Danio rerio: one gene and its partner. The protein of the gene in region 2 binds, or shares a complex with, the protein of the main gene of each other region. Links are inferred from orthologs where the notes say so. Each region holds a gene or a part of one and is shown on either strand. Other genes may lie near its edges.

Region 1 (7,085 bases), on a different chromosome or scaffold from region 2:
TGTGTGTGTGTGTGTGTCAGATCAATAAGCTGCACCTGTGTAAGCCGCTCATCCGCGCCATCGACAGCTCCAACCTGAAGGACGAGTACACCATGGCTCAGCGCGTCACCTACAAATACTACGTGGGCAGGAAGGCCATGTTCGACAGCGACTTCAAACCAGGTCTGACCACATGAGGATGAGGATGGCCATTATGGTGGAAGCTTGGTGATGATGATTGTTATGGTGATAATTATGATGAAGATGATGAATAATTTGGTTGTCATGTTGATGGTATGTGATGATGATGAGGGCTGTTATAGTGTGATGATGTTACAGTACATAATGATGATGTTGATGATGATGATGATGATGATGATGAAGGTGTGTGTGTGTGTGCAGCTGAGGAGTGTCTGTCGTTCTCCTTTACCCACTGCCATCGCTCCTGCCAGAGGAACAAGCGGCTGATCCTCATCTACCTGCTGCCCGTTAAGATGCTGCTGGTAAACATGTCATTTATTATTGTTATTATTATTTATTATGATTATTATATGATTATTAATTCTTATTTTCATTATGATTAAATGTGCAAACTCTTAAAATGTTTGTTTCCACAGATAATCAGCAATTATCCAATCTAAATGTGATTGTGTAAACGTGATCTGTTGCGCAACAGTGTAAGTGACAGTAGTGTGTGTGTGTGTGTGTGTGTGTGTGGTTTTTTTAGGGTCACATGCCCACACACCAGCTACTGAAGAAATATGACCTCATGCAGTTTGCTGATGTCACTAAAGCTGTCAGGTAAAACACACACACACACACACACACACACACACACACACACACACACACACACACACACACACACACACACACACACAGTAAAATTGCTGTAGGTCTTAATCATCATATCATCCTCTGCTCGTGTGTGTGTGTGTGTGTGTGTGTGTGTGTGTGTGTCAGTGAGGGGAATCTGCTGCTGCTGAACGCCGCTCTGGTCAAACACGAGACGTTCTTCATCCGCTGCGGGATCTTCCTCATCCTGGAGAAGCTGAAGATCATCACCTACAGAAACCTCTTCAAGAAAGTGTGAGTGTTGTGTGTGTGTGTGTGTGTGTGTGTGTGTGGTTCACCCAGATCATGCAGATCACATCTTCTTCCTCTGCAGGTATCATCTCCTGAGGACTCATCAGCTTCCTCTGGCTGCATTTCTGGTGTCGCTGCAGATGATGAAGGTGGAGGACGTGGACATCGACGAGGTGCAGTGCATTCTGGCCAACCTCATCTACATGGTGAGACACACACACACACACACACACACACACACACACACACACACACACACACACACACACACTCCTCACACACATCATTATTAGTCAACAAGGCAACATTTCTAATGGATCCTTCATGCAATATTTGAGTTTATATTTCAGCATCAAATGATTTTGGTTTGAGTTCTCGCTGTCTGCAGGTCATATTCTGGTGCTGCTTCTCTTCTTTCCAGTTCATGAGTTATGAATATGATTATGTGTTTTGTGTCTCTCAGGGTCACATTAAGGGCTATATTTCCCATCAGCACCAGAAGCTGGTGGTCAGCAAGCAGAATCCCTTCCCTCCGCTGTCCAGCATCTCCTGAACTCCATCTCCCAGAATGCACCATCACAGACACACTGATCCTCAGAGCTTCGGTCTTATATTCTTCTGAATATTGTTAGATAAACATCACACTGTTTTGTACATTTTCTTTTTTTAATTACTGATCAATCATTTATAAATTCAGCCTAAAATCATTAGAATGGCAATATTTTAATTATATTGCATTAAACAATATATTATTTTATACATGACTCACATTTAATCCAGATTTGTACACATTACGGATGTTGAATCTTACAGGAATAACATGTTTAATGAACATTATGTCACATAAAAAAGAAAGAAAGTATTTTGTTGTCAGTTGTAGTCATTTTATTTATTTAATTTATTATTTTTTTCAGCCAAACACTGATTCTCATCTGAGTTTTCAGGAAATCGTTTTTAAAATAAAACAATTCTTAACTTATTATCTTTTAAATCTCGACTGCAATGCAATCATTTTTAGAATCGCTATAAATAACTCAACAGTAATGTAACGTATTACTCACCATAACAGGTAACCAAGTAAAGCTACTAGTTCCTCTTCAGTAACTCAAGTAAGGAGCAGCTCAATATTGCACTGCATTACTTTCAAAATCAGATCCTGCTCTGTGTATAGTCTGTTTCCCTCTCAGGGTTGCTCCCTCTCGGAGGCGAGCAGCAGCGGCCGCAGCCAGTGCAGGTATCGGGACAGTTTGGTGAACAGCAGTGTGTCCCCGCAGCGTCCCGCAGACAGAGACACGCCTGTCAGAAAGGCTGTTTTTCCCTCCAGTGTGGCGGCGGGGCTGCCGGAGCTCACAGTGCAGCGCTCGGAGCCTGCAGACTCACGCTTCATGCAGAACATCTTATTGGTCATCACGAAGGTGAGGTTCAGAGCGTCACGGCAGTCGTCCAATGACAGGTATGAGTATGTGGCTCCGCCCTCGGCCACACCCTCTCGCCCTGCCCTCATCAGGATGTTCTCGCTGTAGTCTTTCTCAGGCAGGCAGAGCGGGACGGTGCTGATGTTGGGGGGGAACGGCTCCTGCAGCTCCAGGAAACACAGGTCATCATCCGGACCAGAGAGGAAACGCTTATGAGGTGTCCAGCTGGAGACGCGCACAGCTGCAGTGGAGACGCCCACCGCTGGAAAACACCAGACACCATGTCAACACGCAAATAAGGGATTACCTCAACCCCCCCACAGAAAACAAACAAATTACCACCCCGCAGTAGAACAAATATGGGAGAATCCTGGGAAAATGGGTTGACGGGTATAACACACATGCAGATCAGCACCTCCACACATGGCTCTCGGCTCAGAGATAAACATGAGTGTGTGTTTCTCACCGACAGTGAAGTGCAGATCCTGCAGTGCAGTCATACATGTGGCTGATGTCAGAATAGACTTCTGGCCCAGAATCACACCGTGACACACGTCATGACCGCTGGCGTTCAGAAACCTCACCTGCAGAAAACACACATCTCTGATGAATATTCAACAGCTGCTCTTCTGATTGGCTGATCATGTTTGAAGATGATTCATCTACTTTTCACCTCCCATGAGCAGCGTCCATCAGGACAGAAACTGGACATCTCCGTCGTCCCGCACGGGTTCTGGACTGAGAAGAACGAGAATGATTTACATTGCATTGAAGTCCTTTTATATTTATGCTCGTGTCTTTCCTAAGAAATTAACCCATCATTTTGTGATTAATAGCACATACTCTGTGGTCTGCAGAAATGAGGCAAATATGCAGTTTCTAATAATGCAGCAGTAAAGAAGCACAATTCAGCAGAAATGTAACAAGGACGGAGCGGTAAAGATGCAGAGGTACTGAGGCATACATACAGCAATGATGAAATATATATGTAGCGGTAATAATGCATAAATACAGTAATAATAAACCAAAGATCTAGCGGTAATGAAGCATAGATACAACAATAATGAAGCAAAGATGCAGCAGTTATGCAACAATGATGTAGCGGTAATGAAGCAAAGATGTACCGGTATTGATGCATAGATACAGCACTAATGAAACAAATATGTAGCAGTAATGATGCATAGATACAGCACTAATGAAATAATGATGCATAGATACAGCACTAATGAAACAAATATGTAGCGGTAATGAAGCAAAGATGCAGTGTTAATGATGCATAGATACAGCACTAATGAAACAAATATGTAGCGGTATTGATGCATAGATACAGCACTAATGAAATAAATATGTAGCGGTAATGATGCATAGATACAGCACTAATGAAACAAATATGTAGCGGTAATGATGCATAGATACAGCACTAATGAAATAATGATGCATAGATACAGCACTAATGAAACAAATATGTAGCGGTAATGAAGCAAAGATGCAGTGTTAATGATGCATAGATACAGCACTAATGAAACAAATATGTAGCGGTATTGATGCATAGATACAGCACTAATGAAACAAATATGTAGCGGTAATGATGCATAGATACAGCACTAATGAAATAATGATGCATAGATACAGCACTAATGAAACAAATATGTAGCGGTAATGAAGCAAAGATGCAGTGTTAATGATGCATAGATACAGCACAAATGAAACAAATATGTAGCGGTAATGATGCATAGATACAGCACTAATGAAACAAATATGTAGCGGTAATGATGCATAGATACAGCACTAATGAAACAAATATGTAGCGGTAATGATGCATAGATACAGCACTAATGAAACAAATATGTAGCGGTAATGATGCATAGATACAGCACTAATGAAATAATGATGCATAGATACAGCACTAATGAAACAAATATGTAGCGGTAATGATGCATAGATACAGCACTAATGAAATAATGATGCATAGATACAGCACTAATGAAACAAATATGTAGCGGTAATGATGCATAGATACAGCACTAATGAAATAATGATGCATAGATACAGCACTAATGAAACAAATATGTAGTGGTAATGAAGCAAAGATAGAGCAATAATGTAACAAATATGTAGCAGTAATGAAGCAAAGATGTAGCGGTAATGATGCATAAATACAGTAATAATAAACCAAAGATGTAGCGGTAATGAAGCAAAGATACAGCAATAATAAAACAGATGTAGCTGTAATGAAGCAAAGATGTAGCGGTAATGATGCATAGATACAGCGATAATAAAACAGATGTAGCATTAATGAAGCAAAGATGTAGCGGTAATAATGCATAAATACAGTAATAATAAACCAAAGATGTAGCGGTAATGAAGCATAGATACAACAATAATGAAGCAAAGATGCAGCAGTTATGCAACAATGATGTAGCGGTAATGAAGCAAAGATGTAGCGGTAATGATGCATAGATACAGCACTAATGAAACAAATATGTAGCAGTAATGAAGCAAAGATGTTGCCGTAATGATGCATAAATACAGTAATAATAAACCAAAGATGTAGCGGTAATGAAGCAAAGATACAGCAATAATAAAACAAAGATGTAGCGGTAATATTGCATAAATGAAGTAATATTGCGGTAATGAAGCAAAGATGCAGTGGTAATGAAGCAATTAAATGCAGCGAGTTTCAGTGATTTGTGTGTTTCAGCAAGTGTTTGAGTGATTTGTGAGTGTTTGAGTACCGTTAGGTGAGCAGCTCCTGCCGTCGCTGTTGAGTGTGTATCCGCGAGCACAGAAGCATCGGTATGCAGCTGTTGACGGCCTGCAGAAGTGCTCACATGCTAAAGGGCCAGCAGATGGACACTGGGATTTATCTGGAAAACAGCAGGGTGAAGCGTCAGACATGCATCAGACACACTGATCTCATGTTCACTGGTGCCAATTGCACATTTACCTGTCTGACAGTCGTGCCCGCTGTACGCCTCCGCACAGGTACAGGTGTATCGGCCGATGCCATCCTTACACGTGCCGCCATGTTGACACGGGTTAGATCTGCACTGGTCTCCATCTGACAGCCGAAATATGCTCATTTAATACAACTGCAGTAATATAGCAGAGGAGCTTTAGTATCTAAACTGAAAAGACTTCAAAATATAAATAATTAAACATAGAACAAATGAAGAGCACAAGGCTTTATGTAAAAGTCTAAAACAATTAAAAATTATCTTTAAATAATGTAAACAAGCTGTCAGAATCATTTCATTCAATCATTGAATAAACATTCTGAAGGTCACTCACCATAGTATTTGGCCCAGAACTCATTCTTTAACAGGGAAAAGAGATGTATGAGTGAGTTAGGTTAAACTTTCAGTAGCATTTAGTTATACTATTTGAAAACTTATAACTTAATAAAATGTTATAACTTAATAAAAGCTAAAACATTTACAACGAAGTATTTAAGCTCGAGGGCGGGGCTTCACGGGGTCATGTGTTATTAAGGTCACCTGATAAACTCATTTTCTCTCCCTTTTTCATTTCCACTGACAAAAAACGAATTAAATGAAAGTAAAGAAAATTAATTATGATGAAACAGCTGTGCTTTTTAAACAGTCGTCATGAAGTGGGAGGAGTCAATTAGCCCGCGCTCAGTTGTGGCGCGCATGTTTCGCGGGCATTCGGTCATAATCAACATCAGTGATCGTAATGAAGCGTAATTAAAGACAAAAACATGACGACGGACTTTCTGAAACCAGTTAACCTTTCATCAGGATACCCGATTAAAACACCATTCCTGCGCTTCTGCTCCTGCCATCGGTGAGTTGATGACCAGACGGGATTTTGTCAATAATGCAGATCAGTGGCGTAGCGGACGGGCCCGCAGGGCACGCACCGCGGGGGGGCCCCGCGTAATTAGGGGGCCCCGCGTCTTCGCGATTTTCAATAAACTGTTGGGAACAACTGTGGTCGGAACCAAAGTTCACAGGTCTGTGTTCTCTGAACACCTCTCAAGCGGTGGACTACTTCATTCTGATTGCTTGCCGCCAATGTTGCCAACTTAGCGACTTTGTCACTAGATTTAGCGACTTTTCAGACCCCCCTAGCGACAAATCTAGCGACTTTTTTGTGTGTTATTGGAGATTTTTTAGACTGTCATTTGTCCATACTGTACCGTCCCTACTCTTCTCAACGAGCTGCGTGTGATGCCGCCGGCCCCTCCCCCGCCTCACAGCACTGACAGGCGGCCCAGTCAGTCCTCTACAGCAGCCTCTCCCACCTGCAGCCCGAGAGCAGATCACCCCTCTGCGTACCGACGACAAATGATTTAGCACAGGCAGTGTGAAGGTATTTCACTTGTACAGTCAAACCGATCTACTTCTCCTTTATTTTAACAATTTAATTGGACCGTTTATTCTTTTCTTGTTCACAATCACAGATATTTTAGTGACATTTTAGTGATATTTTAGTTTATTTCATATGAAAGATTACTGCACATTCACTAACGTTACACATCTATAATGATATACTGTATTCAAACAGCAATAAATTTAGTTAAATAAACATGCTTATATGTAGTGCAATTATAAATACCCCTTTATTAACCATAGGCTGTTA
Region 2 (8,440 bases):
CAGTCAGAGTTTACAAGCATATATTTAAAAATGTATATTGCTTATATAAAATGTATTTTAAAAATAAACACTTGCTAATGTTCTGTGTAGCGGAGTGTTCTGTACTGTTTCTGTCCCGAGATTTAACAGAAATATCCCACTTTAACAAAATCTGTTTAAAAATTCTTAAAATGAACACTTGTTTGAGCAGTCAATGTGTGAATAATTGTGTTTTAATTACTTGTGTAAAACTCTACTACAGAACTGCTTGTCCCCACAGCCGTGTACTGATAATAATCGCTTTATTTAGATTTTCTACTATTCAAAATGCAATAATGTATTAATGATCATCAAATATAGGATGTAAATGACATTAAAGAAGAAAATGGCACATATGATGAAACATTCAGGCCTAAAAGTCCAAAGGAAATAACCCAAATGCTTTTATTATGGCATTTTTAAAAACATTTTCTCTGCAACTTTCTGAAATCTGTGTGTGTCTATGAGTATTGCCTCCGTCTGTGTGTGTGTGTGTGTGTTTACGAGAAATGTCTCCATCAATGTTTGTGTGTTGTGTGTGTTAATGAGAAATGTCTCCATCAATGTGTTTGTTGTGTGTGTGTGTGTCTGTTTATGAATATGGTCTCCATTAAATGTGTGTATGTGTTGTGTGTTGTGTGTGTGTGTGTGTGAGAGGGCGGTCGGTCTCCATCAGAGTGTGTGTGTCAGCTGAGCGTGGGGTCGATGACTCTGCCCATGAACAGCAGGCTGGCGGTCTCCTCGTGGTAGAGGAAGAAGAAGAAGGGTCTGTTGATGATGAAGGTGTCCGGCAGAGAGTACGCCGTGATGCCCACTGATGTGGAGGAGGCAGCGCTGGTGCCCTGCTCATACACCTCTATCACTGCCTTATGAAGAACCTGCGAGCGCACACACACACACACACACACACACACACACACACACACACACACACACACACACAGAAACACACAGAAACAAACACACACATACAGAGACACATATACACAAACACGTCTGTGATGAGCGGATGTTTCTGAGACGCTTAAGGTTAGGGTCAGGGCCTGGGCTAGGCCACAGACACTCTCATTAACCTGACAGAAAAACTATGGAAGTCTAATGTCCTCACTGAGATAGGAAACAAACTTGTGTGTGTGTGTGTGTGTGCATATGTGTTTAATTGCACATGTGTGCACATGACATGTGTGTGCGTGCGTGTTGTGTGTTTCTGTGTGTGGTGTGTATGTTTTACTGCATAGATGCGCACATGTATGTGTTGTGTTGAGTGTTTTTCTGTGTGTATATGTGTGTGTTATTGCATATTTGTGCCGGTGTGTGTATTTGTGTGCGTGTTGTGTGAGTGTGTCTGTATGTGTGTTTTACTTTTACATGTGCACGTGTGTTTGTGTATGTTTCACTGCATGTGTGTGTTGAGTGTGTTTCTGTGTGCATGTGTGTTTTATTGCATATTTGCACATGTGTGTATTTGTGTGTGTCTGTTTGTGTGCATATGTGTGTTTCTGTGTGCATGCCTATTTGTTTGTGTTGTGTTTCTGTGTGCATGTGTGTTTTATTGCAGATTTGTGTGTGCATGTGTATTGCGGCATACTTGTGCACATATATATGTGTGTGTAAATTTGTGTGTGTGTGTGTGTGTGTGTTTCTGTGTGCATGTGTGTTTTATTGCAGATTTGTGTGTGTATTTGTGTGCATATGTGTTTTGTTGGATATGTGTGTGTGTGTGTGTGTTTTATTCAATGTGTATGTAAGTGTGTGTGAGTGTGTATGCGTTCAGTCACCTGAGAGACCTTCAGATGTGCGTCTCTGCTTAGCCCGGTGAGATCTGCGGAGTCCTGGAAGACGCTGCTGATGCCCAGCTGAGGCAGGAGCTCATGCATGTGGTACGACTGATCCATGCGGAACCGGGGCAGATGCACCTCCATCTTCCTGACACACACACACACAACACCACCCGTCAACAGAAAACACACCAGTCAAGGTAAAACACACACACACCATCAAGAAAAGCCGTCAGACTCTAAACTACAGGAGTTTTCCCTTGAAACAAGCAGAAGAAGCTGCCCATGGGGGAAGCTGAGGACAGGGTTATTTTCTGCTGTACAGTTCTGAATGAGCTTCTGCACCTGTCTGGATGACAAAACATGTTTCATTTAGCTAATGTAACCCCGCCGGTCCTAGCCCACCCAACCCGCTCCGAGCTGGTATCGAACCAGCGACCTTCCGCATGGGAGTTGGTTAAGACCATGGAGGTTTACCTGCACAGCACTCACCAGCTGGCCTCCGTTACACTAATAATGGAGTATCGTGCGCTCGTGATGATCCTCAGTGTGATTCAATATTACTTATATGTCAAAGATATATCTTACGTTTCTGTAAACATCAATATTATTTCAATAGAAGGTGTCGTATCTGATGCTGTAGTTGACGTCACCTAAATAAATGAGCATATAGCGCCTGAGTTGAAGACGGGCATCGTGTCCATTTAACAGAGACGCGCTCATGTGGTGAAATGGAAACGGTTTCAGAAATACTGTAAACATTTGGAAAAGCATGACGAGAGCAGCTGTGGACAGGCTCATAGTGAAGTGCGTCCCGTGTGCGGTGTGGAAGCCTCTACAGTAGCGCAGTGACACTTTCCCTCCATTTGTTCGGCCTATGGTTGTCAGTGGCCAGTGACTGAGTGCATCCCAGCGTGTGGCTCACATTCTCCTCATGTTCTTGATCCAGCCGTGGAGCCGCTCGGCGCTGATCTCGTCCTCGATGGCGGTGTAGTCTGCGTCAGCGTTGGGCAGGAGGATCAGCATGGAGGCTCCACCGCGGTACGGCAGACGCAGCACTCGAGCGCGCAGATCCCGGTCCTCCACCACAGAGAACTTCTCCTCCAGCATCATCATGGGCACCTGAACGATGTTGTATTTGTCCACGTAGAAGCGGCTCTTCTCTGTGTTGTTGGGGTTGAACGGACGCTCCCAATCACCTGCAGAACAAAGAGTGTAAAGGGACAGCTCCCTCAAAGATCAACATTCACTCGCTGTTTACTCTCCCTCAAGCGGTTCCAAACCTTTATGATCTGGAGAGAGCTGAAAACCTGTAACCCCTGACTTCCATCCCATCTTAATGTCAACACAACATGCATTGGACATCACTCATTCACTCACTCAATGTTCTTTGGCTCCACATTTATCAGTGCAATCCCAGAGCTGAAGCTCATATCTGTGTCTGGAGTAAGTCTTACCCTTGTAGAAGATGGTGTTGAGGAGCATCATCTGCGTGAGCGGCTCCACGCTCTCCAGCATCTCCAGCACTTTCCGGCCGGTCTTTCTGCTGACGAACTCATTGATGAGGCTCCTGCAGACCGCCGGCTTGCTGAAGTCCACCCTGAGCACCTCCGCATTGAAGAACCTCTGGATCTGCTGGCTGAAGTTGGTCTGCAGGTGGAAGTGCTGGTCCAGGAAGAGCGCCGTGCCCTGCTCCATCTGCAGGGAGATGTTCTGGTGGAGCTGCTGGAAGAGTTCAGGAACCCGCCGGGAGTCTCCTCCATCCAGAGCCTCCAGATTCAGACCCTTCAGTATCTCGGTGCGCGTGGAGCCCTGCGCCGCCAGCAGGAGCGCCGAGAAACACGTGGAGACGCTCAGCGGAGAGAACACCACGTTCCTGTCGTGCAAACTGGAGATCTTGCGGTAGAGGTTGATGGCGAAGTCTGTGTTTCTGAAGGCCAGATCTGAGATATCAGGAGTTCTGAGCTCTTCATGTTCAGCAGAGCACAGAAAACACGCGGAAATGAAGACGAGGAGAAGTCTGAACTCCATCTTACACTCTCTGTGGGAAACTCTGGAGCTGAAGATGGTCGTCAGACGCCCTACACAGGGATAACACAATGGAGGTACAACAGACGTTAAAGCAGACCTATTGTGTCCCTTTCTAAACGCTGTACATGCATCTCAGCTGTGTCCAGAGCAGGGCTGTCCAAACTCGGGCCTGGAGAGTTTAGCTCCAACACACCTGCCTGGAAGCTTCTAGTTCAGGAATGGCCAACCCTGTTCCTGGAGATCTCCCTTCCTGCAGATTTCAGGTGCTGCCCATATCAAACACACCTGAACCATTTAATTAGGACCTGAACACCAGGTGATCATTACAGGCAGGTGTGTTTGATATGGGCTGCAACTGAAATCTGCAGGAAGGTGGCTCTCCAGGAACAGGGTTGGCCACCCCTGCTCTAGTGTATCTAGTCAGAGCTTGATTAGCTGGTTCAGGTGTGTTCGATTAGGGTTGGAGCTAAACTCTCCAGGACCGAGTTTGGACATCCCCGTTCTACAGTGTTTGTGTTTCACTTTGAGTGGAGAACAGCACACAGATGATGTTCTCCAGCTCTCTGAAGCTGACCCTTTCAGGCTTTGATCCTAACTGTAGTGTTTTGGAGACTGTTGCTTTAAATGCAAATGAGATTGTCATTTCAGAAGAGGGCGGAGCTACAGACGCCCGTGTTACTATTACAGCTCAGATCAATGTTCTGCGTCTAATGTTTATATGTTGTGGCCAGCAGCCGTGTAATAATCAGGATAAAGGAGGGTTGTGTCCAGTGGGTCGTGTTCACAGAATAAACCCTTCAGTCCTCTACAACAGCTGCTGATAAACCTGTCCGGCTTTATTCTGAGACAACGACTGCCTGGATTCCCTTTATCCCTCACTAAAGCTTTCCAACTATTATGAACTTCCATATGTCAGCACTGAAACTCTTCATATTGACTATTGAAGACCGCCTCAACAATGCTTTGACAAAAGGTTCACAGACATGCACAACACCAGTAACAGATGCAGATCCACAGCAATCGATACAGAGTTAGAAATATTCCCTGTCACATTACACAAGAGCACACACACTCAGTTAGCCATGCATGCTGTGTTTATGACCATGTGAAACAGAGTAAATCTGTACCAAAGGCAATCCACGAGCATTAAAACAGAAAGGCAAAACCCAGAAGAATATAAAGAGCCTTTAAAATGTCGTGTACTCACGCGCAGATGCGGCAGATGAAGATCTCGAGCCGTGTGTTGTGATTCGTCTGTTTACAGAGACAAAGTTCAGTGAACATCAGAGATTATCTATTAACAATCAAACTGTTTCCAGCCCTGCGGGTCAGTCTGGGTCAGCAGAGGCCAGAACTGACCACAAACAAACCATTCAGAGCTGGATCAGGACGGCCGCTCCAGTGCGTCACTGTTATGTCACATATAGCCACTGTGTGTGTTTCAGTGCTGGGGAATTTACCATATTATATTATGTATGAGGGTATACATGTATGAATCTGGGAAAGTTCACTCTGATCTGCATTTTAAACAACGTTAATAATTAAAATAACAGACATGCATCTGATCATCCCATAACAGTTCACAGCACTGTCAATGCATAACTGCGCCAATCAGTGCACGCGGGACAAAAGTCATTCATAAGAAGTCGTAATAAAGCATTACTTTGCTACAGCAATCCTCGTGTGAAGACAGGTTTAGATGTTTTTAAGAGGCTAAATTTAATGCAAAGACCACCAAACTGTCCATACTGCTTCCTCATTTAATGTCTACTCTACACACGTTGTCTGTGTGTGAAAATACAGTTTATACTTCTCCAAACTCAGGGTTCGCTCTTGTATGCTCACCAATGTAAACTGAATGGAAACCAGTGGTCATGTCTGGTACTGCAGCCAAAATAAACATTACCAAAAGAGATTTCAACTTCAAATTGGGACTATAACTTGCTCAGATATTTAGCTTTGGGTCTCAGTTTTGTAAAATACACATGTCAGGCATTATAATAACATATATATTGTTGTATTTTTTCACAAACAAAGGAACATAAGTTCTGTTTTCTGGAACCTTTTTCATTTTCACTTTTTCATCCTTTTCATCATCGCTAATGAAACACACATCCCACATCTTCAGTCCACTCCAGCAAATCCTTTATTCAAGAAACAGAAGTGTGTGTAGAGAAGTGCAAGAGTCATCCAGATCACTTACAAACTATTGCTGAACGCCAAACCACACAAATGAAGACAAGCAGAGCCTGAGGGACGACACCTGACTGACTGAAGCGCGTCTGATTGGCTGAAATCATCACATGTACACTCCTGATTGGCTGAAATCATCACATGTTGATTCTCTGGTCCGGCCTACGTGAGCTCCGCCCTCACGCACACAGTGTTCACTACCTAGGGTGCGTGAGAGTCTACCTTCATTAGTGAATAGATCAAACACACACACACACACACACACACACACACACACACACACACACACACACACACACACGGTAATTCACAGAGGAGAAGAGGAAATATGCAGAAACCCAGTAAAGCCCGAATGGTCCCAGAATGCACTTGGGCGTGTTCCAGTGTCCGCGTCTGGCTCTGGTGTGCACTGAAGGCAGTCTGAGGAAGAGGAATGTTCCGGAAACGCTTCCCGCTCCACACACAGAGGTCAAGCAAAGCTAAACGAGCGTCCGTAATGAGCCCGCCGGCCGGAGCTGTGCTGAGCCGAGGCGTCGTTCCCATCATCCCCGCAGGGGGCGTGTTCAGGGCGAGCGGTGCGTCTGTCACCGTCGCCACGGCAACGTCACTGGGTGGGTTTGGGCCCGCTGTCCGTCCCGCCTCCTGCAAACCGACAGCAGAGCGCTCAGACCGGCTCTTAAAGGGACGGCTCACCCAAACAGCAGCATTCTGCTGTTAATGACCCGTCCTGCACCGCTCCGCCAACACGAGGAGAGTCACTAACCACAGGATGAGCTCTGGGTGAACAGACCCTTTCACACTGCTCCTATAGTGTGTGTGTGTGTGTGTGTGTGTGTGCGCGCTCTCCTCTTACCTGTGCTGCTGCTGCTGTCCTGTGCGTTCTGCTGCCTGTCACAGATCACACACTCAGCGTTTACTCTTGACTGATCATCACGTCTGCATGATGTGTGTGTGTGTGTGTGTGTGTGTGTGTGCTCACCTGTCGAAGTAAGCCTGTCTCCTCCTGCGCAGCTCCTCTGCACTGAGCGTCTGCTTCTCACTGCTGCCCCCTGCAGGAGCCGAGGATCCCGCATCACTGCTGCCTACAGGACGAGAGAGTGTGTGTGTGTGTGTGTGTGTGTGTGTGTGTGTGTGTGTGTGTGTGAGAGAGAGAGAGAGAGAGTACATCACTGTGTGAGTTTGTATAAGTGTTTGTACTGGTTTTTATATCTCAGTGGGGACTTGAACCTAAATGCACACAGACTCATGGGGACTTGGATCACCGTGAGGATCAAATTGAGATGATCACAGGTAAACAAGCGTGCAGATCAGGCAGAACGGAGGATTGTGAAGATGTGAAGGTGCAGTGTTCACTGTGAGGGTTGAGTTTAGAGAATATACGGTCTGTGCAGTACACACATCACTACAGCTGTGTGTGTGTGTGTGTGTGTGTGTGTGTGTGTGTGTGTGTGCTCACCCTGCATGCTCATCTGTATGGCTCTGCGCAGGTCTGCCTCCTCATCCTCCACCTGCAGGTCTTGTCTGCTGAGCGCGAGAGCCTTCCTCAGCTCCTCCTCATCCTCGTCCAGCACCGGCTCCTCTGCAGTGTGTGTGGTTTCAGACGCGTGCGGTGCTGACATCCTGACAACATACACACATACATATATACACACACACACACACACACACACAATCAGCTGCAGTGCTCAATTATGGAGACTCCAGTGTGTGTGTGTGTGTGTGTGTGTGTGTGTGTGTGTGTGTGTGTGTGTGTGTGTGTGTGTGTGTGTGTACCTCTGCGTCTCCTCCTCTCCGATCAGCTTGGGCCGCTGCTGCTGCTCCACCCTCATGATGCGCAGGATCTGATCCGCTTCACACTCCGGCAGATTCCCCCGAATCACAAATATAGAGTAACCTGCAGGAGGACAAGAGCAGCGCTGAAGCGGACACACACACACACACACACACACACACACACACACACACACACACACACACGATAATGAGTGTTACCCTCCTGCTGCAGCTGTGCGAGGAACAGGGCCAGGTATGTGTCTGAGATCAGCTCCGGACCCGTCAGCAGAGAGTTCAGGTTAAACCACTGACACACACACAAACACACAGAGAGAGAAAGAAAGAGTCAACAAACACACACCTTTCTGACCCTGAACACACACACACACACACACACACACACCTGCTGTCCCAGCTTGCGCACGGTGAACCAGTGCTCCTTATAGTTGCAGATGAAGGCCTTCTCATGCCTGAAAGACAGCAGAGGAGGATGAGTGTGTGCAGAGGAGACACACACACACACACACACACACACACATAGAGGATACAGCGCTCACACACTCACATGGGGTCCATCTGCAGCTGCTGGTACTCTCTGCTGTTGAAGAGGACGATCTCCAGACCCCACACACCCAGAGCATTGCTGA

What was found.
Region 1: the proteins of serpina10b (region 2) and prozb are in contact, whole or in part, in a crystal structure (PDB 3H5C), measured with the Homo sapiens proteins. The link is inferred for Danio rerio from reciprocal best matches to the Homo sapiens genes SERPINA10 and PROZ. Residues at the interface, in NP_001094077.1 of Homo sapiens: Arg88, Lys89, Ser91, Met92, His94, Asp95, His257, Asp259, Lys260, Tyr261, Asn282, Phe283, Lys305, Met306, Asp308, His309, Leu310, Ala311, Leu312, Asp314, Tyr315, Leu316; in NP_003882.1 of Homo sapiens: Cys129, Pro131, Cys141, Leu142, Pro143, Ser151, His250, Met251, Arg252, Asp254, Ala257, Glu259, Asn260, Glu284, Lys285, Asp286, Phe287, His290, Leu291, Thr336, Thr337, Arg338, Arg390, Ser392, Leu393, Trp394, Gln397.

Annotation. Positions count from the first base shown.
Region 1 is NC_133176.1:416,966-424,050, reverse strand, and holds the end of prozb (protein Z, vitamin K-dependent plasma glycoprotein b precursor), read right to left. Parts: intron 5,797-7,085; coding exon 5,772-5,796; intron 5,542-5,771; coding exon 5,428-5,541; intron 5,348-5,427; coding exon 5,216-5,347; intron 3,219-5,215; coding exon 3,154-3,218; intron 3,065-3,153; coding exon 2,947-3,064; intron 2,743-2,946; coding exon 2,249-2,742; 3' UTR 1,928-2,248; downstream 1-1,927. Other genes in the region: pcid2 (PCI domain-containing protein 2), read left to right, coding at 21-162, 382-482, 707-780, 943-1,068, 1,148-1,271, 1,529-1,618. UniProt on the Homo sapiens protein: Appears to assist hemostasis by binding thrombin and promoting its association with phospholipid vesicles. Inhibits activity of the coagulation protease factor Xa in the presence of SERPINA10, calcium and phospholipids.
Region 2 is NC_133192.1:59,468,866-59,477,305, reverse strand, and holds serpina10b (protein Z-dependent protease inhibitor), read right to left. Parts: upstream 5,084-8,440; 5' UTR 5,035-5,083; intron 3,878-5,034; 5' UTR 3,828-3,877; coding exon 3,254-3,827; intron 2,996-3,253; coding exon 2,722-2,995; intron 1,945-2,721; coding exon 1,797-1,944; intron 897-1,796; coding exon 705-896; 3' UTR 679-704; exon of another isoform or gene 574-678; 3' UTR 399-573; downstream 1-398. Other genes in the region: atxn3 (ataxin-3), read right to left, coding at 6,625-6,662, 6,874-6,908, 7,000-7,102, 7,477-7,640, 7,794-7,914, 8,013-8,100, 8,197-8,263, 8,359-8,440. UniProt on the Homo sapiens protein: Inhibits activity of the coagulation protease factor Xa in the presence of PROZ, calcium and phospholipids. Also inhibits factor XIa in the absence of cofactors.